4 linked regions of the Yarrowia lipolytica genome follow. The protein of the gene in region 4 interacts with the protein of the main gene of each other region in a pairwise test. Links are inferred from orthologs where the notes say so. Each region holds a gene or a part of one and is shown on either strand. Other genes may lie near its edges. The genes, in order: YALI1_D25744g, YALI1_B29539g, YALI1_B01552g and YALI1_E33527g.

Evidence for each region.
Region 1: the proteins of YALI1_E33527g (region 4) and YALI1_D25744g interact in a protein complementation assay, tested with the Saccharomyces cerevisiae proteins (2 studies listed by BioGRID). The link is inferred for Yarrowia lipolytica from reciprocal best matches to the Saccharomyces cerevisiae genes STU2 and CCT6.
Region 2: the proteins of YALI1_E33527g (region 4) and YALI1_B29539g interact in a two-hybrid assay, tested with the Saccharomyces cerevisiae proteins (2 studies listed by BioGRID). The link is inferred for Yarrowia lipolytica from reciprocal best matches to the Saccharomyces cerevisiae genes STU2 and UBC9.
Region 3: the proteins of YALI1_E33527g (region 4) and YALI1_B01552g interact in a two-hybrid assay, tested with the Saccharomyces cerevisiae proteins (2 studies listed by BioGRID). The link is inferred for Yarrowia lipolytica from reciprocal best matches to the Saccharomyces cerevisiae genes STU2 and PAC1.

Annotation. Positions count from the first base shown.
Region 1 is NC_090773.1:2,571,886-2,577,463, reverse strand, and holds YALI1_D25744g (uncharacterized protein), read right to left. Parts: upstream 3,067-5,578; coding exon 2,933-3,066; intron 2,564-2,932; coding exon 1,126-2,563; downstream 1-1,125. Other genes in the region: YALI1_D25786g (uncharacterized protein), read left to right, coding at 1-748; YALI1_D25715g (uncharacterized protein), read right to left, coding at 5,126-5,578. UniProt on the Saccharomyces cerevisiae protein: Molecular chaperone; assists the folding of proteins upon ATP hydrolysis. Known to play a role, in vitro, in the folding of actin and tubulin. In yeast may play a role in mitotic spindle formation.
Region 2 is NC_090771.1:2,951,828-2,955,682, forward strand, and holds YALI1_B29539g (uncharacterized protein), read right to left. Parts: upstream 2,191-3,855; coding exon 2,147-2,190; intron 2,091-2,146; coding exon 1,655-2,090; downstream 1-1,654. Other genes in the region: YALI1_B29528g (uncharacterized protein), read right to left, coding at 1-1,025; YALI1_B29548g (uncharacterized protein), read left to right, coding at 2,989-3,855. UniProt on the Saccharomyces cerevisiae protein: E2 ubiquitin-like--protein ligase mediating SUMO/Smt3 attachment to septins and PCNA. Seems to be involved in degradation of S- (CLB5) and M-phase cyclins (CLB2).
Region 3 is NC_090771.1:153,205-157,853, reverse strand, and holds YALI1_B01552g (uncharacterized protein), read right to left. Parts: upstream 2,563-4,649; coding exon 1,249-2,562; downstream 1-1,248. Other genes in the region: YALI1_B01568g (uncharacterized protein), read right to left, coding at 744-788, 834-1,016; YALI1_B01550g (uncharacterized protein), read left to right, coding at 2,637-2,791, 2,834-3,158.
Region 4 is NC_090774.1:3,349,333-3,355,646, reverse strand, and holds YALI1_E33527g (uncharacterized protein), read left to right. Parts: upstream 1-2,781; coding exon 2,782-2,838; intron 2,839-2,887; coding exon 2,888-5,434; downstream 5,435-6,314. Other genes in the region: YALI1_E33540g (uncharacterized protein), read right to left, coding at 1-1,582; YALI1_E33485g (uncharacterized protein), read right to left, coding at 5,718-6,314.

The sequences.
Region 1 (5,578 bases), on a different chromosome or scaffold from region 4:
TCTCAAGCAGGCAAAGGCCACCAACTTGCACATGGCCATGTTTGTGTCACTGACCGGAACCACCCTTCTCTTTTCGCCGCTCATGCGATGGCGAGCCAAGCTCAAGTCCGTCATGGTCTGGGGTACTATTCTGTACTTCATTGGAATGGGACTCACCTACGAGTTCCGAAAGCCCGAGAAACCCCTCCACACCATGATTCTGGCTCAGGTATTTGAGGGTGTGGGAGCCGGTCTGCTTGTCATTCCCGTCATGGTTTACATCCAGGTCGTGTGCAAGCAGTCCGATGCTGCCGCCGCCATCACCGTCTACTACTTTTTCAATTCCACCGGTACCATTCTCGGTAACGTCATCTCGGCCGCTGTGTACCGAAACCATTTCCCCAAGCTGCTTCGAGAAACAGGGTCCTTTACTGACCGGGAGATCCAGGCCATTTTCGGCTCCATCTACGCCGGTCTCAGATACCCCGTGGGCTCCCCCCAAAGAGCGGCCATTGGAACCTCGCTCAACACCGTCATCCGATCACTGCTCATCGGCCCTCTCATTCTCTGTGCCATCATGTTCTGCCTCTCTCTGACCAACGCAGATATCAATCTCGATACCGCCCAGCGAATCAAGGAGGAGTCCGAGCATGTCAAGGCCGACGAGTCCACCGACGATAACGGACTGGTCGTGGAGACAGACTCAATCGAGAAGCCGCCCTCCTACGACGAGAAGAAGCAAGTCGAGGAGATGGTCCAGAAGGCCTGAACAAAACCAACACTTAATGACTGACACTTAATGACTGTACTCCAGCGACTGTACAATACTTATCAACTATTTGTACCTCGAGAATGAGGAGTAATGATTGTAGAATCATTCGTACATCTGAACTGTGCCCACCAACAATTCAGTAAGTAGCCTTAACCCTTACTCAACTATTACTACACTACAATCAACTTATAATTAATGAATGTATTATGCAGAAAATAATAATATAGACGGTGGCTATCTCGTACTTGTACTGCACACGTTAGGCAGGGACTACTTCTTCAACTTCCCTCCTCTTGTCATGTCTATATTCAATTACATTCATTCGTATCCAACCCATACCGCTTATGGCCTCATTTTATGCTCTACACCTCCCCTTACTGCTGCTTCAACGAAGATCGACCAGCCTTGAGCAGCTCGTCGCACAGCAGCAGGTTGGTGGCAATACCAGTGGCACTGGCAATGCTGTTTCGGATCACCCGGAACGAGTCGTAGACACCCTCAACCGTGGGGTCCATGGGCTCGCCGGTGGTCAGATCCAAACCCACAAGATGGCCCTCGGCAATCTCGTCCTGGCACTCGGTAATCATGTCAAGAGCGTCGTAACCGGCGTTAGAAGCCAGAGTCTTGGGGATAATCAGCATGGCCTCGGCAAAGGCTGTGATTCCGTACTTGGCCTTACCCTTGGTGCTTCGCGCGAACTTGATGAGATGCTGGTGCAGAGCGAGCTGGAATGCGCCGGCACCAGGAACAACAGCCTGGTCGGTTCGGCAGTTGGCCACAGCTCGGAGACCGTCTCGCACCGCATCGGAGGTCTGGGCAATGCTGTGAGAGTTGGGGGCTCGGATCAGAATGGTCACCGACCGGGGGTCCTTGACCTCCTCAATGTAGGTGTACTTCTCCTCGCCAATGGTCTCCTCGTAGACCAGACCGGCCCATCCCAGAATATCGGGACGCAGATCCTCAACCGAGTTCTGGGCCTCTCCTCCACACACGAGCTGCAGACGCTCCATGTTTCGTCGCTTTGCTCGTCTCAGGGCAAAAATGCCGTTCTTGGCCAGAATGTCCAGAGACAGAGGATCAATACCCTTCTGGTTGACAATAACAAAGCCCTCGCCGTTGGCACACACTTCCCGCTTGAGTTCGACAATCTTCTTGACCTTGTCGTCCACAAACTGTCGCTCGGACTGTACCAGCTTCTCTCGCTCCTCAGCAGTGGAGTAGAAGAAGCCGGCGTTGACCTCGGACTTCTCGTACTCTAGAGACACGTTGAGAGTGAGCACAAACGCGTTCTCGACTCTCTTGGGCATGTCGGGGTGTCGGGGACCATGATCCAGAACCAGACCTCGGATCAGCCGAGTGTCGTCGGGTCGCTGCTGCTTCATGATCTCAACCATGTGCAGATCGTCTCCAACTGCCAGAACGGCATCGGTGACGACGGGAGCCAGACGCGCCACCAGAGTGGGGTTCACTTTGGTGGCGAGGGAAGATCGAGCGACCGCCAGAAGCAGCTCTCGGTCGACGCTGCCGGCCTTGTTGATCTTGAAGGTGTCGAGGAAGGAAAGGGCCTCCTTTCGAGCAATCTCAAAGCCCTCAGCAATGACTCGGGGATGCATCTCAGTGACGAACCGCTCGGCCTGTCGAAGCATCTCTCCAACGTAAAGGACAACCGATGTCGTACCGTCACCGGTAATGTCGTCCTGTGCAGTGGCGGCTCGGGCAATCAGTACGGCGGTGGGGTTCTGGATCTGCATCTCGGACAGAAGCACCTTTCCGTCCTTGGTGAGCTTGATTCCTCCTGCTCCATCAACAAGCCTGGGTTAGTATTGTATGACTCTCGTGATGTGCTTTTGGTGATATGACTTTGGTGATATGACTCTGGTGATAAGACTGTGACGTGTCTTGAAACAGTGATATGGCATATCTGTGTTCATTTGATAACTCCTGTCGTGGTACGTCCTCAATCAAGTCGTGACCACGTCAAAATGAATCCTGTGTCGTGGTTATAACATCCTGGCTTCCATCATGTTCCAATTACATAAACAGGTGCAATTGCAACACAATAATCAACAGCACCATCGTCGTGTACAACATAACACGGACAGATGCTCATCATTACCCTTAGGACGTCTTGAACTCCTTCTTGATGTTTGTCTAACACCAACTGATCGCCACCATACTCACATTTTGATGGTGCCCTTGGGACCCAGATTGCTGCAAAGAACGCTCTGAAGACCCTCTGCGGCGGCAATGTTGACCTGAAGCGCCTGCTGCCGTCGCAGGGACTCGGCCTTGGGGTTCAGTAGTTGCACAGACATGTTGTGTATGTGTGATTCGAAAAGTGTGGAAAACAGAAAAGCCCCGTGCAGATAGGATTTGGTGACGTCTTTAATTTTCACAGACGAGGTTCGCACACACTCTATCTGCACTCAGGCACTACTTTGGGGGACGCGTGTTCGATTACCGGTGGCGTAGAGAATAACGTAGAATCTTTTAGAAGACGAAATATATAAATAAACAAAAGGGTTGCTTGACTGATGGATATTTCCAGGGACGATATACATTCACTCGTTTTATGCCCATTAGACCCTCTATTCTCCGTTGTCCGGACAACGCCTCACTTAGTCAGGGTTAGTTGGACGCCTTAGCAACTCAGCAACACGTGTATTGAGAGCAGCTCACCGACTGTACGAGCACGAGTACGAGTACGAGAAATTGTACATAGAGATTAAACGAAACGGGCAGATAGTTTTAGTCACGTGATTGAAATATTGGCACCTCCCGTGTTTTTCATTTCAGTACCTGTGCACTCCTGTGTTCTCGTATTACATAATATTAACATATGCATGCTGAAAAAAATCCCACCTGGCGTAATTATGAGTCCACCGCTGCAGGAAAAAAAATTTCTGCAGTATATATAGCAGACCATGTCCTTGACCAGAACTTCACTGCCTGTGATGGTTTTTTTTTAATTAGACTCTGATCACACATGAGGTCAAAAAATGTCAAATTTGCTGAGGCAGTTCCCACACAATATTTAGTTGATATAATCAGGTTAGGAAGAGGACATGGATATCGCCAGTTCTGAGACCTAGAGGTTATGAGCCATAGCACGGCAATAGCACAATCTATTGCCAATTGGCAACGGACATCCATCTACACGTCGTTGGTGCTGATGGCAGGTGTCACGAGCTGATTTGACGGTTTCCGGACATCTTCGACGTGTTTAGAGCCAAGGCTGACAGTCATCGCTGACAGTCATCATCTACAGAACGACATCATGCCTTTTTGATCGCAGCAATACACAGGTTATGACCAGTGCCTAGCGCAGTATATACATACAACTCAAGCTCCAAGGTTCTCCTCTGATCTCTTTGGCCGACTTATACATGCTGGTAGGAACTCCTACATGCAGATACGCACACGTTGGTACGTCCATTGGTACATTAATAGTGACGAAAGAAGAGCTCTGAACCGATTAGTGAAACACGATGGCATCAGCTGTTTCCTCCAATAGACGGCCAGCTAATAATCTTACCACCCCACGTCTCCACCGATGATGTCTCATATTTAGCCTCGTCTTGATAGCTGCCATTTATTATTCAGACGAGTTCGGCTACGAAGACCAATTGATCATTATGCCGGGTACAAGTAGCTCCAATTTCACGTGACCAACGACATTAGAAATTCCGCTACCCATACCGGTACTGTACCTGTATCTATCCGTCTAACCGTTTGTAACCTGCTTACGCACGTGCGCATTCCTCGTTAGTTTCATTTGAAGGGGCTAGCGGCTATTATCTTCATTAGAGGCATAAATCGGTCCATTTTAGACGCCCTCTCCTGGCAGGTATCTCCGGTTCTATCAATTTGCCATTGCTCGGTCTTTGGCAATGCCTCCATATATTTCATTTCATGGTTACAATACACCTCAGACAGCATCGGATGTCTCACACCACCATGCAGCTGAGATGCATCAAATATGCACGGCGATGCACAAGTCGACGATACCAAGCGTAAGCGAGTGGATACTAAAGCTTGGGCTGAAAAATTTGTACTGCTAAAAAATGTACTGCTAAAAGTTTGTACTGCTAAAAAAAATATGTGCTGGACTAACACAGCTACGACTCCAATTTGATACAATATCAATAAATAAACTGCAGAACAATAAATAGAATGTGCAAGAGAGTTTGCACGGCGCTAGGAGCGCGGACGTAACGTCAATGTTTGCTTTCACAAGGAAAACAAACGGTCCTAAGACAATTCAAGGGGTCCACTTTGCTGGCAGTCCTGAGTGCCAAGTGTATAGGGGGTATGTGATGGTGGTGCCCGCCGTCCGCGGTCTGCTTTTTTTGGGTTGGGAGTGCAAGTCAAGGATTATTCAATCAGCTTGACAAGACCCCATGCAGCTCCGGCAGCAAGACCACCAATCAGAGTCATCTGGATACCATTCCACGTGATGCAGCCTCGTCCGACGTCGGATCCAAGAGAGATGACAGTCTTGGTGCAACCGAAGATGAAGAGGGTGATGAGCATGACAATGACGGACCACATGAGACCATCGTCGACGTGGGCGGTAAAGAAGTAAGGGATCAGGGGAATGAAACCTCCGAAGAAGTAAGCCAGACCAATGGTCATGGCAGAGGTGAATTCTCGGCCCTCAGCAGGTTCCTCGAGACCCTTTCCGAATCGAATGATAAAGTCAACCATGGATGTGGGGTTCTTCTGCAGGTCCTTGGTGAAGGAGGCAGTGGTCTCGGGAGAAAGGTTGTACTGGGCGAGGATGTCGGCGATCTGAGACTCTCCCTCGGAGGACTCGGTCTTGAGGAC
Region 2 (3,855 bases), on a different chromosome or scaffold from region 4:
GCCTGCTGTGGCGATCCTCGTCCAGAACCGCTACTGTTGGCGGTAATGGTTACCAGGTCCACGATCTCTTGATCAGACACGTCGCCAGAAACTCCGTCGGAAACCAGCACCAGGAACTGTTCGTCCTGGAGTGCAACCTCTCGCACGTCGGGCTCGGCACTCACACCCTTGGCCTTCATAAGTGTGTCTCCAAAGGCTCGGGTGTTGGCAAAGACACCGAACCGCTCCTCGCCGAAGGAGTCCATGAAGAATGAAGATGCAAATCGACGCAGACGATCGGCCTCGGTGGGAGCGCTGGGATGGTGGTCGATGGTAAGAGGTGTGGCCTCTCCTTTGGCATCACAGATGATGCATCGAGTGTCTCCGACATGGGCCACTACTAGAGAGAGGTCGTTCTCTGGGTCAAACATGTTATCCTCAGCCCCCGGCGGTAGGGGACCGGCCTCTGAATGGGCCACATGGCGACAATACAAGAACACCGATGTGCATGTACTTCCTCCTTTACCTTCAAAATCGTAGTCGGCCTCCAGGAACGCCAACGGTAGTCGTAACTGGAAGTCGTCGTAGGGGCTCATTCTACCCCGGTATTTGTCCATCTGCTTCCATCGGCGCCAGTAGCCTCCAAACCGCTCCTTGTACTTGGTGGTAATGTCGTCGGCGTCGTTGAGGTCAGCCTTCTCGACATAGGTGGCCAGTTTGTCCTTAAGAAACTCGGAGCACTCGTCGGATCCGTGGCCATCGTAGACGGCAAAGTTGAAGACCTGACGCTCGGCAGACATGCCCTTTCGCAGAGATCGAGGCGCAAAAGTGCTGCCTCGAGGTAGTTTCAATACGGAGGCGCTGTAGCGGTCTTCGTTGTAGGGTCTGTTGACTCGGCTTGTGTAGTGTCCAATGAAGCCCGGAAGCGAAAGCAGGTTTATGCGGCCCGCCACGTCGCCCTGGCGATAGTGAAAGTAGTTGCTGACGTGTCTCGAGAATATACGGGGCAATGGCGCCCCAATTGTGGCTCCTCGTCGAGGCACCATTGTATGGATAGATGTTTAGGACAGGTCCCAACGAAGTTAAACAATCCCCGCATGGGCCAAGACGGAGGTGAAACCCTCAATATTAGCAAGCCTTAGGGGGTACATGGGGTCTTGTTGGGCGGGGCAAAAGGGTTTTTGAGCGGTATTTCTGTCCACTATGAAGTGAAGCCGTCATATCCCCCTGGTTACATCCCCTCGTGTAGCTATAGCTGTGTACTTGATATATGTTCCTGCACATTTTTCCGACATTAACAGCAAACCATATCCTCAAATTTGTATGACAAGCAACGGATAAACCCAACCTCCATGCCCACACGTTGAGTCAACTGAGTCACGCTTACAGAGCTCCACGAAAATGAACCCATGGAGCTGACTAATGAAAAATGGCTTAACTTTGGGGCTGTCATAACCACCAAACATTGGACAGGAGGGAGAAAAAAAATACATCTATTGACTAAAACATGCGAAAACCGCTGACCCACAAGCGTCACGCATACATATGTTATATTTAATGTTTAGTCGCGTGAGGGTGGATCAGCTCATCTCGGCCCTTGGATCCTCCTTCAAGACTCCAGTTCTAAAGTCCTCCAGCATCGCGTAATGCATTAATACGAACGCCGAGTATCACTCTAAGCAGCGTACTTTTTGACCTGCTCGGCCACCCGCTTATCGTACTCCTCCTTGTTCTTCTGGAAGGCGGCAAATGCATCGTTCTGGGCGGGAGAGTGGGGGTTGGGGTTGTTCATGAGCTCCTGGATACCCATGACAATCTCAGACAGCGTGATGGAAGGTCGCCAGTCCTCCTCCTCGTTCAGAATTGACAGACAGACGGTGCCCGAGGGGTAGACGTTGGGGTGATAGAACCCAGCATCAAATCGGCATCGTGGGGGTTTGGTCGGGTAGTCTTTGGGGAAGGTGATGAGCATGGGGTATGTGGCACCGGCCCAGGCGGTTCCTTCCTTTCCGGGGATGCCGGCGTTCCAGTTAGTGAGATCCAGGTTTCCGTTCTGGTCCTTGGCGGGCTTAGCAAAGAAGCCAAACGGATGTGACTTTCGCCAGGTTTTCCTGAGTTAGTTAAAACGGGGCGTCTAGGTGAATAAAGATTGGTCTTTGTAACTCACCGCTCTTCCATGAGTCGCTTCTGCATCAACGAGTCTTCCGACATTTTTGCTGGTTGTGTCTTGTGTGTGGTGTGTGTGGAGAATGCGATGTGATGATGTCTCCTAAAGAGGTTTTGTTTGTGGCCGACTATCTCCATAGTAACGTAGCTAACTTTCAGCACTCGGTTCGAGTCCTATGTGGGTATGGAAGTGAGGTGTTTTTATTATTCACGTGGGAGAGTCCAATCATAGAATTATTTACTTCATTTGGCGTATATTCTACGGAAAACCTACGCCCAAGATATTTGTTGGTGGTTTGGCTGGATTACTGACTTTCAATATTACTAAGCGTCAAGCCTCTCCCAGAAGGATCTACACCTATCAGAGCTCATTTAATGAAGATGTGGAACAAGTACGAGTACAAAAAATTGTCCTAACTAAGAGACCTTCTTGAAGCATCTTTTTCATTCATGATCCTTTGCATTCCGAGACCCCCTTGTTCCAAAGACACAAATTTGCACACTCAAGGGCCCTCTTTCTACAGCGAGACAGCTTGACTGACACTTGCCCCACGCCCCTAACCCGTACCCCACACACACGTTTGTGCCAAAAAATAGAAGCCAGAAGAGGAGGAAGTGGAGGAAGAATTTTCCATTGAATATTCCGTGGTATTAATTACCACTACTTCATTAATTACACCTGTCTCACCTCCTTGGTCCAAATCTAACCACTCAGACGGCTGATGATCATAGACTCCCCCTGCACACCCCACCTTGTGAAAGAAACTAAGTTGACCAACACCTTGATTTCCATCGTGTTCGCTTCTTAACCACACCCCCACACAGTTCACACCCACAAAAACAATGTCACACGAAGAAGATCTTGATGACCTCGATGACTTTCTCGACGAGTTCGACGAGCAGGTGCTGAGCAAGCCTCCTGGAGCTCAGAAGGATGCTACCCCTACTACATCTACTGCTCCTACCACTGCCGAGGCTAAGCCTGATGCCACTAAGAAGAGCACCGAAACTTCCGGGACCGATTCAAAGACTGAGGGAGCCGATACTGCTGACAAGAATGCGGCCACTGACTCTGCGGAGGCCGGTGCGGAGAAGGTTTCTCTGCCCAACCTCGAGGATCAGCTCGCTGGGCTCAAGATGGACGACTTCCTTAAGGACATCGAGGCAGACCCCGAGTCCAAGGCCCAGTTTGAGTCTCTGCTCAAGGAGATCAACAACGTTACCAGCGCCACCGCATCCGAAAAGGCCCAGCAGCCCAAGTCATTCAAAGAGACCATTTCCGCCACTGCTGACCGTTTGAACCAGAGTAACCAGGAGATGGGGGACATGCCCCTTGGTGACGACATGCTCGCTGGCCTCATGGAGCAGCTGTCGGGTGCTGGAGGCTTTGGAGAGGGCGGGGAAGGCGACTTTGGAGATATGTTAGGAGGAATCATGCGTCAGCTGGCCTCCAAGGAGGTTCTGTACCAGCCGTTGAAGGAGATGCACGACAACTACCCTAAGTGGTGGGACGAGCACGGATCCAAGGTGACCGAGGAGAAGGAGCGAGACCGACTTAAGCTGCAGCAGGACATTGTTGGCAAAATCTGTGCCAAGTTTGAGGACCCCTCTTACTCTGACGACTCCGAAGCCGACCGAGCCGTCATCACCCAGCTGATGGACGAGATGCAGGAGACCGGTGCTCCTCCGGATGAGATCATGTCCAATGTT
Region 3 (4,649 bases), on a different chromosome or scaffold from region 4:
GGTGGTGGTGGTGGTGGCGGGGTGATGACGATAAGATGTGGTTCAGGGTGATATATTGATATATACCTTGGTTGCTCATGTCATGTATGTACAACCCAACTTTATCGTCAAGGCGGCGACCGAGCGGGCGGGGCAGGAATAGGCCTGCTTCGGGGCTTGTTGGAGAAGGGGAAAGTCCCGAAATCAAATTTTGGCCCGGCCCTGGTTCATTCCGTGAGCTTTGTGTTTTTCCAAAACTCATCAAAATCGCTCAATTGGTCGCCCCGGTCTCCATTCGCTGCCGCCTCGACTCACTTGCATGCATGAGCCTGCAGCGTGCATATATGGTGTCATTTAAAAACTCTAAATCGCGCCAACTAATTTTAGTTAGGCTGGTGTAGAGGTGTAATGGTGAACATACAAACGAGCAAACCACAGGGAGTTTTTGTGCTGAAGATGGGTCGGGTTAAAGACACCACTGTGTTCTTCAAGATCGGAGATATTGAATGTTGTATTTTATGTAGTCCCCCTCTCTCCTGTGGCGTCATTTGTGTGGATTCGACGTGACCGGATTCTAAGTAATTCTCAACAAGTCAGAAAAATGGGAGGTCAGGTCAACTTGTATCACGCGACTTCATCACAGCTACAGGCACTACTGATTACGTACAGTACAGTAGGTAGTTACTAAAAATACACTTGTTCTATGTACCGTCTGAGAACCGATGGGTAGGCCGCACGTCCGTCACGTGAGTAGTCACGTGTGGTCATATGATTAGTCCCGTGCAGTCACATGAGTAGTCTGTACAGGACTTGTAGTAAATCTGAGAAATAGTGCGAAACAGTCATCTCCAGACTGCAATCAAACTGTTTGAATCGCTCCAAAGTTGATTCAGGAGTTTGATGGAGCTACTGACAGGTTTCGAGTAATTCAAACTGGTCAGAGTGACTTTTGCGTGGTCAGAGTAATCCTGACGTGCCTCCCGATTGTTTCCGAATGCCCTATGATTCCAAACTGCTCCAGACCGAGACATGTCCATTGTGAAGCTTTGGAGAACCGGTCAAAACCAACCTGACCCACTCTGCTACAGATTCAGACGATCTCCAATTCCCCTTATGCCCTTATGCCCTTATGCCTTGATTTTTCCTCCTAACTTGTGGACTCTGTAGTGTCAGAGCGGCACTAGAGTGACGTGACCCCTTGTCAGTCCAGATCATGACCAACAGAAACGCCATTTATCGTTACCTAAGCAAATTGCTTGCTCGCTCCCCTCACTGCCACACCTTGACTTGGCCATCAACACCGCCAGTGGCAACAAGACACCGAACCCGACCATTGACATCGTTCGGAGCCCACGCCACGCACGTGACAAAATGCCCATGGGCATCAACAACCCTAATACACCGGCCGCCCTGCTCCAAATCCCAACATCTCATGGTCTTGTCATCAGAAACAGAAACCAAATACCGCCCGGCCGGATGAAGAACAACTCCCCTAACCCAATTGTCATGACCCCGAAGAATTAGTAGAGGATCGCCACGTGACGACCACACCCGGATCGTCTTGTCACGTGACCACGACACGACAAAGTACGAGCTCGTCTTGTCGAGCTTGGCCAGACACCCGGCGGCGCTCTTGGGGTAGACGGCAACGCCCTCGATCACGTGCTCGTGGCCGAGTAGCGTCATCTTGCCGTCGCCGGAGACAAACTCGCTGACGCGGGTCACGTGATCGATCCCTGCTGAGAAGATGAACTCTTCGTTGAGCGCCGCGCACGATTTGACCCAGTCTGTGTGGCCGTGGACCGTTCGCACGCAGTAGCCCGATTGCACGGACCAGACGCGGACCGTCTTGTCACGTGACGCGGAAATGACGTGGTTCCCCGACGCGGTGAATTTGACCGCCGAGATTGTGTGGTCATGGCCGGTCAGTGTTTTGACGTTTGCGTATTCGTTTTGGGGGTCCCATATTCGGATGGTGAGGTCCGACGAGCAGCTGACCAGGAGCGCTCGGGGCTGGGCGTGTGATACGTCGGCACGTGGCTTGTCATGTGATTTGTCCCGTGACGCTCCCGTGTCCGGCTGACTAAAGTCCACGTCCAGCACCCCCCTCGTATGGGCCTTTATCGTCGTTTCAATCTCGCCCAGCTCGTAATCCCAGATTCTGATATTTCCATCTTCGCACGCCGACGCCAGAGTGGAATGAAACGGATGAAATGACACGGCATTCACGGGCTGCTTATGTAACAGGCTGAATCGTGAAGTTTTGGGTAGCCACGTTTTCGGGTCGCCAGCCCCCAGACCGTTGGCCTTATGAGTGGAAGAGGCTTCTCGCTCTGCCGCCTCCAAACGGGTTTCCAAATCCATCACCTTGCGCTGAAGCCTTATGACCGATAACCATTTCTTTTCCAGTAGTAAAGCGTTGGCCTTGAGAGTGTCGGCAGGCACGGGCTCGGAGCCCGACGGCTGACTCAGAACCGCCGCCAGCTGACTCAGCAGCGCCTCGTCGTTAGTCAGCCGGCTGACGTATCCGAAAATGCTGGTTTCCAGGTCGCTGCGTTGTTTATCCGTCAGTAGCGACTCCATGGTGGTGTGTGGTGGTGATGAGGTAAGAGTAGTGGGTAAAGTTAGTCAGCTGGGAGGTGTGAGATGGTCTGGTTATGACCAGGCAAAGGAGGGAGGGTGTGCACGTGACCCTACTGTGTTGTTCGGTCAATCTAGAGATTATGAGTTATATTCGAAGGGTCCAAATGCCACCGTTCAAAACACTGTTCAAAACACTGTTTTTTCCACACTCCAAATTCGTCCCATTTTTGTCACCACTTTTAACGACGGTGTTTTGAAATCCCAAATTAAGGTTAAGGTTAGGGGAGGTCGCGTTTCATCTTAGATTGGTGTTGGTGGTGGCACGGTTCTGTGGGATGATTTGGGGGGATTTGGGAAGGATTAGAGATTGGAAAGTGTTATTAAACGTGGAAAAGTGTCATCAACCCATTTCTGGGAAATCTTGGGGGAATTTCAGAGTATCTTGCCCTATCTTTGTCAATATTAGGACAGAGGCGATGAAAGTGGTAGCATTGGAATCAGGAGAATCATGCGGACATTTGGACACCATTAACAATGTCTATAAATTGCCATCGGATTACTCAACGAGTAAATATCATTCGTTTTTTCAATCCTAATTTGATGTTTATTTTTGACTTTTATTTTTGACTTTCATGTTTTACCAACATTTTGAAATATTTCCGAGCCGCACGAATGGGAGACTGAAGCGAATGAAGCATGTGGAAACGGCAATGACATGTTGAAACCGAGCTGGGATTTTAGAATGTCACATGATTGAGATTACGTAACTTTTCCACGTCTTTTGTGTATCCTGATACGCATTACCACACCCAATCTCCAGTTTATTTCCCAGTTTATTTTCCGCTGCTCCAATTAATGCTGTATAGTCAGCTCAATATACATTTCCTTAGATTCCATTTGTGTCTGAGTCTACAATTGGAGCCATTTTATCTGCTTCTTCTTCTTCTTCTTCTTCTTCTTCCACCTCAGTCCAGTGCGGCTGAATCCTGACTAGGAGAGGCTTGTTTCGCCAAAGGACGTTCCAGGATGACACACCTCGCTGCCCTGAATAAACCAGTCTCTTTGGAACAATGGCTTGACTCTTAGTGAACATACTCTCAACAGTTTGAGTGCAGTGTACACTGTCAGGTCACGATACCGCAGGATGTTGGACATTCGATAATGGTTCTGCCAAGGTATCTCTTCTGATCGTTCGTTGCTGGAGCTTGGGGGACCTTAGTTTGGTCAAGGTCTTCAGATGCGTCCATCTGTTCGGTTTCGTCATGATGCTGAGTCTTTGGAAAAGGGTTCTAGTCTGTAGCACCTTTCACGCAGTTTCTTGTTTTTCTTGAACCGACAAGACTCTACCGGTTAAGTCGGTGAGTTTGAGGGTGCAACTTGCTGGACTTGTCTGAATGGCAATCGGCTATCCAGAACCTCTGTCAGAAACCATTGCCAGAAATCATTGTCCGAATCGACTGTTGGTTGTTGTTTTCTCCTTGTGGGAGGACATTTCTTTCAATTGGAATCTCTAGAAACATCGTATAGATCTCTGTTCTTGTCCGTGACGTGCGGCTCGGAAATTGATGCATATTTTCTGTAGGGGTGTGGGGGTCAGATCGGAGGTCAAGTTGAAAAGGTGTTTTTAGCCCATAGTTTCAGAAAGAGCCATTTTGTGGGTATATAAGCATCACCTTTCGACTCCCCTTGGACTCAGGATTCGGCCCGAGGCTTTGTTTTGGCGGCTTTGGACAACCGGAATATCCAAAGCTTCAAAATCCACGGATATCAGTTTGGTTCAATCAAGAGCATCTAAGATGTCGTCTTTTCGTCTTTTTGTCAATTCCGTCTTTTTATCAATTATATCAGCATTTAACGACTTTTTTCCCTCACCAACCAGCTATTCTTTAGATTTCTTGAACAATCCAACCTCAATGAAGCTCAGCGAATTGGACATCGTCCACTGTGTATATCGTTGATGCTAGATCAGATGTAAACTACAAGTAGTAAATTGCTGAATAGAATCTTAGTGTAAGTTGTCTTCGCTGAATCGAATTCTAGTGTACATCCCCTGTAGGATTCACAGATGGTTTTTTTTTTTTTTTTTG
Region 4 (6,314 bases):
TGTTGTTGGAAGACACCGTAGAAGCAACAGAGGTAGTAGCAGTTTTGACAGAAAGACTAGTAGTTACCGGAGTGCCGGGAGCTTTGGAGTCATGGGTAAAAAGAGAGATCCAATCCTCCATGGGGAGAGGAGTGAAATCGAACTCACCAGGCTTTCGTTGAGTGGTTGTGGGTCGGATAACAGGTACTAGACTTCCGATATTCTGATCATAGGTTCGGTATCCACCTGTGTAACTTGTCTGAGCTCCTCCAGGACGTGCAGCAGGAGGCAGATTTCCGTACAGAATTTTGTCCATGAGACCAATACTGGATTGTCCTCGTCGAGGTTTGGGCTGGAATATATCAAAGAAGCCCCAAGTTTCCTCCTCCAGCTCCTCTTCCTCCTTGATGACAGGACGAGGCTTGAACAGTCCAGAAAAGATATTGAATGAGTGCTTGAGAGGGTTGGAGGGACCCACTGTGGAAATAGGGAGCTCAGCAGTCATGACAGGGTATGTAGTAGCTGGGTTATTTTTATGCCATTCTGCTCTCTCTTTCTCAAAAACGGGATCGTAGAAGGGATCATACGCGTCTCTACCTCGATCGATAATTCCGGGAATATCTCGGAACTCGGGAAGTCGAGACTTAGGAAGACCCAAGGGATCATCAAAGTCGTTGGGCTCTCGAGGGGGATCAAGAGGAGGCATGGGCATAGGCATAATGAGTCTGTTATGGTAGTCAGGTTTCTTTCGCTTCTCAGCATCAATCTCTTCCTTCCACTTGGGAGGGGGACACTTCCAGAACACGTTACGAACATCATCCCAACAATGGAAGGCGTTCTTGTACGACAAGTCGATAGGAGCGGAAAGACCTCGTCGGGGTCGTCCATCCCCCTCATCGATGTCAAGTGGTTCCTGCTGTCCAATACGATTCAGAGTGTGGAACCAGGACTGCAGATTGGTTGCGACGTTGCTGAAGACACTTTCCTCGTTGGAGCTGTAAGTGTACTGCTCCCAGGGATCTACTGAGTTGTTCCAGTTTGCAGGAACGGGATGGCCCTTGTTGGTGGTGTAGAACATCGGGATTCGTCGAACCATGTGCTTGAAACCATCAGGGGTCTCGTACCAGTTGGCTAATACCAGATTGTCGGAGATGAGAGGTCGCATGGGGATTGGGTTGATACACTCTGGGTCCTTGGGGTTTCTCCAGTCACACTCAAACAGAGTACCAATCCACATGTTGGGGACGAACAAAGAGTACTTGAGGCCGGCGTATCGGCGTCTTCGCGCCATCATGAAACATCGAGTGTGGTCGTTGTTGTGAACGGAACACAACTTCTTGCCCCACACAGTATCTTGGCCGGGCTCGTTGGGATGGTACAAATCGTGCTGCTGAACATACGAGTTTTCACACTCGGATACTCGAGTATGGTGCAGATTGGGCCAAGATGAAACGGTCACTTGATGGTGAACAACAAAGCCATAGTAGTCTTCCAAGCCCAGCTCGTTGGGGTTGCAAACCCGATGTCGAGAGGGGATGATCTCGTTGTATTCATACATGGCCCAGGCTGTGGTAGCCAGTCCTAGGAAAAAATGAAGATGCATGTTGAGTTGATGATTATGAAATAAAATGGGATGGACTTGATGGCAGTAGATATACCGGTTTTTCCATAATTCAGGGAAAGCTGACCCATAACGAAGTCATCATAATGTATGCTACATAGTATGATGAGGAAGAGGTATCATTTCATTGAACATGGCTATAGAGCCATTTTGTACCATGGCATGTCAGTAGTTACGGGTATCTTTCGCCAATCCCTTACATTTTCAACTTTTGCCCGTTTGCATCACCAATACTTACTCTTGATAATTGTAGTTCCACTCGTCAATTTTGTTCCATGCACGGAAGCAGAGGAAACACGCTACACGCGATAAATACGTGCCATAAGTTTAGGACAGGTAGCTGCTGTATAGACTCATGCGAGACGGTATGCAGTATTATCAGCCGGCATGTTTCTACACCTCCGAATCTTTTTTAGAAAAAAGGGTATACCTACAATTCATTTTATGGGCCACAATCTGTCAACTTTCCAAGCTCCTCGAGACACCAAGTCCCTCAAACCACCTACGTAACACTACATGGATAACCACTTCTAAACTACCCCGTATTTACTATCATAAGAGTTCTTGGAGCACTCTCTTGGTACTGTACTGTACAGTACATACTGTACTTGATATCTACTACAAGTAGTACATACTCACCTTTCACATCTTTCATGTACCCTCAGGCCAGATTTAGACAACAACGCGTGTTCTGAGCGCGTATACTTCGCGCGTGTCCATGTGACATGCCCGCTCTCAAGCCAAGCTCATTGGCGTATATTAGTTACAGCTACATAATGTTGTTACTCCTACGAGTACCAACACAGCAGCTGTACTTGTACGAGTATGTACCTTCCTATCATTAGCTGAGTCCCTTTTTTTCCATCCCAATTGGGGATCGAACCACAACACACAACCAGTCTAAACAACATCCAAAGACAAGCGTGGTCAAAACGGGAATGTCGACAATATATAGACTGGTTCTATGGGAATTACACAAAAATACTATGTTAACCGACAGTAATGTTCCATTAATACATTCTCCTACTATAATCAGTATAGAACAACTCCCGTAATCGAACCCCAGCTAGCCAACCTTATTTGCCTCCCCATCGTTGCCGGGGTAACCGCATGTAAACTGAGATGCATACAGTTCTCATCCCCTAATACCCGTAACACGACCGACATCGCTACAACACGACATGAGTGAAGAAGAAGATTTTAATGCGATTCCGGTGATGGACCGAATGGTCCACAAGGTGAGTATCACGTGTTTTCCCCTTCCCAAACCCCGCGTTACTAATTCAGAACTGGAAAGCGCGACAATCAGCTTATGAAGAGTTGAAGGACAAGTTCACGACATCTCCAAGCGAAGCGGACCCCATTTTCGCGCCTTTCCTCGACAACCCTGGGCTGTACAAGAAGATTGTCGGTGACACGAACGTGGTTGCTCAGGATCAAGGTATTCAATCTTTGGCAGCCTTCCTTCAGTTTGGAGGTACCCAGGCTTGTTTGAGAACACGGTCTGTAGTGGTTCCTATTCTTGCTGAAAAGGGACTAGCTTCCGCACGAGCAGGCACAAAAACTTCTTCTACAGAATCCCTGTTATGGTACATTGAACTGGACGTCCCTGATCCTGTTGTGGAGGATGTTGTTGCTTTGTTGGGCCATAGAACACCCAAGGTGATCGCTGCCAACCTGAAGTGTTTGGTGGACATGGTCGCAGCATTTGGAAAGACAATCGACCCTAAGCCCGTGTTCAAGGCTCTTCCTAAGCTGCTTACTCATGCAGACAAGAATGTGCGAGCAGAGGCGATGAACTTCATTGTTGAGGTTCAAAAGTGGCATGGTCAGCCTCTGATGGACGCAATTTTGCCCAGCTGGAACCTCAAACCTGTACAGCAGAAGGAACTCGATGAGAAGTTTGCTGCTAACGCAGCTGCTGGAAAACCTACCCAAGCTCGACTTCTCAGATCTCAACAACAGGTGCTTTCTACAGCTTCGGCCAACGGAATCGAGTCCGACGAGATGGATGTGGACAATGGGGGTGATGAGGAGGATTCGGACCCTCTGGCTCTGGTGGAAGCCAAGGATGTGCTGTCTCAGGTTCCAGCAAACTTTTACACAGAAGTTACATCAGCCAAGTGGAAGGAACGAAAGGAGGGGTTGGAGGCAGTTCTACCTGTACTTCAGAGCGGAGGCCCCAAATTACAGGAGGGAGACTACGGAGAACTTCTCAGAGCTATGGCTAAGGTGGTTCACAAGGATGCCAACGTGCAATGTGTGCAGGTGGCTGCTCAGTGTATCGAGACAGTGGCGAATGGGTTGCCCGGTAACGCGTTTGCACGATACCGATTCACTCTCCAAGCTGTTCTGGAGCGAACGAAGGAGAAAAAAGCTTCTGTGGCTGAAGCACTGGGCAAAGCTCTCGATGCTATTGCTTGCAAGCTCCCCTTTGGCGAGGTGGTGGAAGATACATTGCCGTTCGTGTCCCATAAGACTCCCCAGGTGCGGATTGAGTCTCTGAACTTCATTCTGCGTCTTTTGTCGACTATCAAGGAGTATCCTAGTGACCAGGACTTGGATCATGTGATCAAGGCGGTTCTGAAGACACTTTCTGATACCCAGGCTCCTGTCCGAGAGATTTCCATGCAGGTTCTTGGTACTGCTCGAAAGCTGATTGGAGAACGGGCCTTTGAGCAGCATTTCAAGGGCGTTGACGATATCCGAAAGACGAAAATCGTCGAGTACTACGATAAGGCAACAGTGGTGGCTAGGCCCAAGGCCAAGCCTACCCCAAAGCCTGCTACTCGCGCTCCTCCTCCTTCTGCCTCTGCTTCTGCATCTAACAAACGTCCTTCTGTGGCTACTCCTGGTCAACGGAAACTGGTTCGACCCGGTGGAGGTGTTATTCGAAAGCCCTTTACTGGATCCAATGCCGGTCCTTCTTCTGGATTTGGATCTACCGACAGCAAGCCAGTTCAGTCATCTGGATATGGTCAGTCTTCAGGATACGGCCAATCTCGAACTGGGTTGATGAAGCAACCTCTCAAGAAGATTCCTGCAAGCCCGAGTATCGACTCTTTCGGACCAGCAGCTTCCTCAGCAGATATTGAGGAACTAGAGGAGCTGAGAGCCGCTAAGGAAACTTGGATCAAGGAGAAGGAGACATTGATGGCTGCTTTTGAGGCCGAAAAGCAAAAGTTTGCAGCTGAGAAGCAGAGATTGCTTGACGAGATCAACTCTCTGCAACATTCCAAGGCAGACATTCTAGAACAACACACCAAAGACGCTGTTTCGTTCAAGAGCAAAGAGACACAGTTCTCCCGGATGCAGGGGGATTTGCAGGCTGCTTACAAGCGGATTTCTGAGCTGGAAACTGCTGCTTCTGCTTCTCAGGCTGTGAAGCAAGAACCCCGAGAGATGTCACCCTCTGTTGACGCTGAGGCATCGTTCAGAGAGCTGTCGTTGGGTGGGGAAGGAGGAGGGAGTGAGAGAGTTGGAGGAGACAGACGAATATCACGTGACTTAAGCGGAGGAAACAACTTTAATGCGGGAAGCAACGGCACGCGTGAATTCAGGCCTGGTCATGGAGGTAACAGCGGCTCACGTGACTTTGGTGTCGGTAACCGGGGCTCTCGGGACTTCGGTGTTGGGAACGGATCACGTGACTACTTGGGAGGAAACGGACATGACTACGGTACACGTGAGTCGGCGGTGTCACGTGCCCTATCTCCTGACAGACGGGATTCATATAGACCTCAGGCTCAGGAGTCGTGGCAGCGTGCTGCAGAGGTTACTAATCAGTTGAAGGCTCGAATCGAGGCCATGAAGGCGAGACAGAAGATGTACTAGTACTGGATTTGATAATTCTAGGGTTGGAAGCTGATACCAGGAGAATGATGATGAATGGCAATGTTCATGTAGGAAAATGGTTAACACTTAATGGCTGGTTTTGATGTGTAGAGCTCGCGGACTGAATAAAATACATTGATATTGACTATTTTAGTGATTTTGGTGTTGTCTGTATGTGATCAGACGGCGGATATATGGTTAGGTCTGATTGGTTTGTTTTGGATGTTTTGAGTGGTCGTGCAGTGCAAGTACCCGTAGGGGACAATAATTGGTCATATTAGGACTAGTTCACGTCACAATGACTGCCCTCTTCCTCTCCATTCACAATCTTCAGCAGTGATTGGATGGTGGAGAAGAGCATGACTAGCACTCCAAATCCTGCCACCAGATAGTAAGGAGCCTTCTGTTTTAGACTCTTGTTCTTGGTCAGCTTCAAATAGCACAGGGGAGGCAGGATATATGCCATGACGCAAGCTGAGGTAGCTCCGACGAGTTCTAGAATAACACCCAGGTTACAGGTGATCAGAGCAACACACATGGCGGTGAGCATCATCACCGTGGTAGTAACAATGTGTCTAATCCACTTGAACTCATCGCCAGGCCAAAAGTATGTAGTGAAGACTTCTCTGCAAACGAAGATCTCCAGAGGCAGGGTGGTGAGCATGTTGAAGCCAAAACAGAATCGCGCAACGTTGGCCATGACATCAGAGGCTGGGAAGTTGTTGAGAACGTTTCCCTTGGTCTTGTCGACGAAAATGACGAACCCACCCACTCCCATGGCCAGACAAGCCACCATGGAGACTCCGGTAGACCAGTGGGTAACTGTAGCGAATCTATCCATAGTAGGTCGTTTCAGAGAGTCGTAGATCAGCAGAGAGTT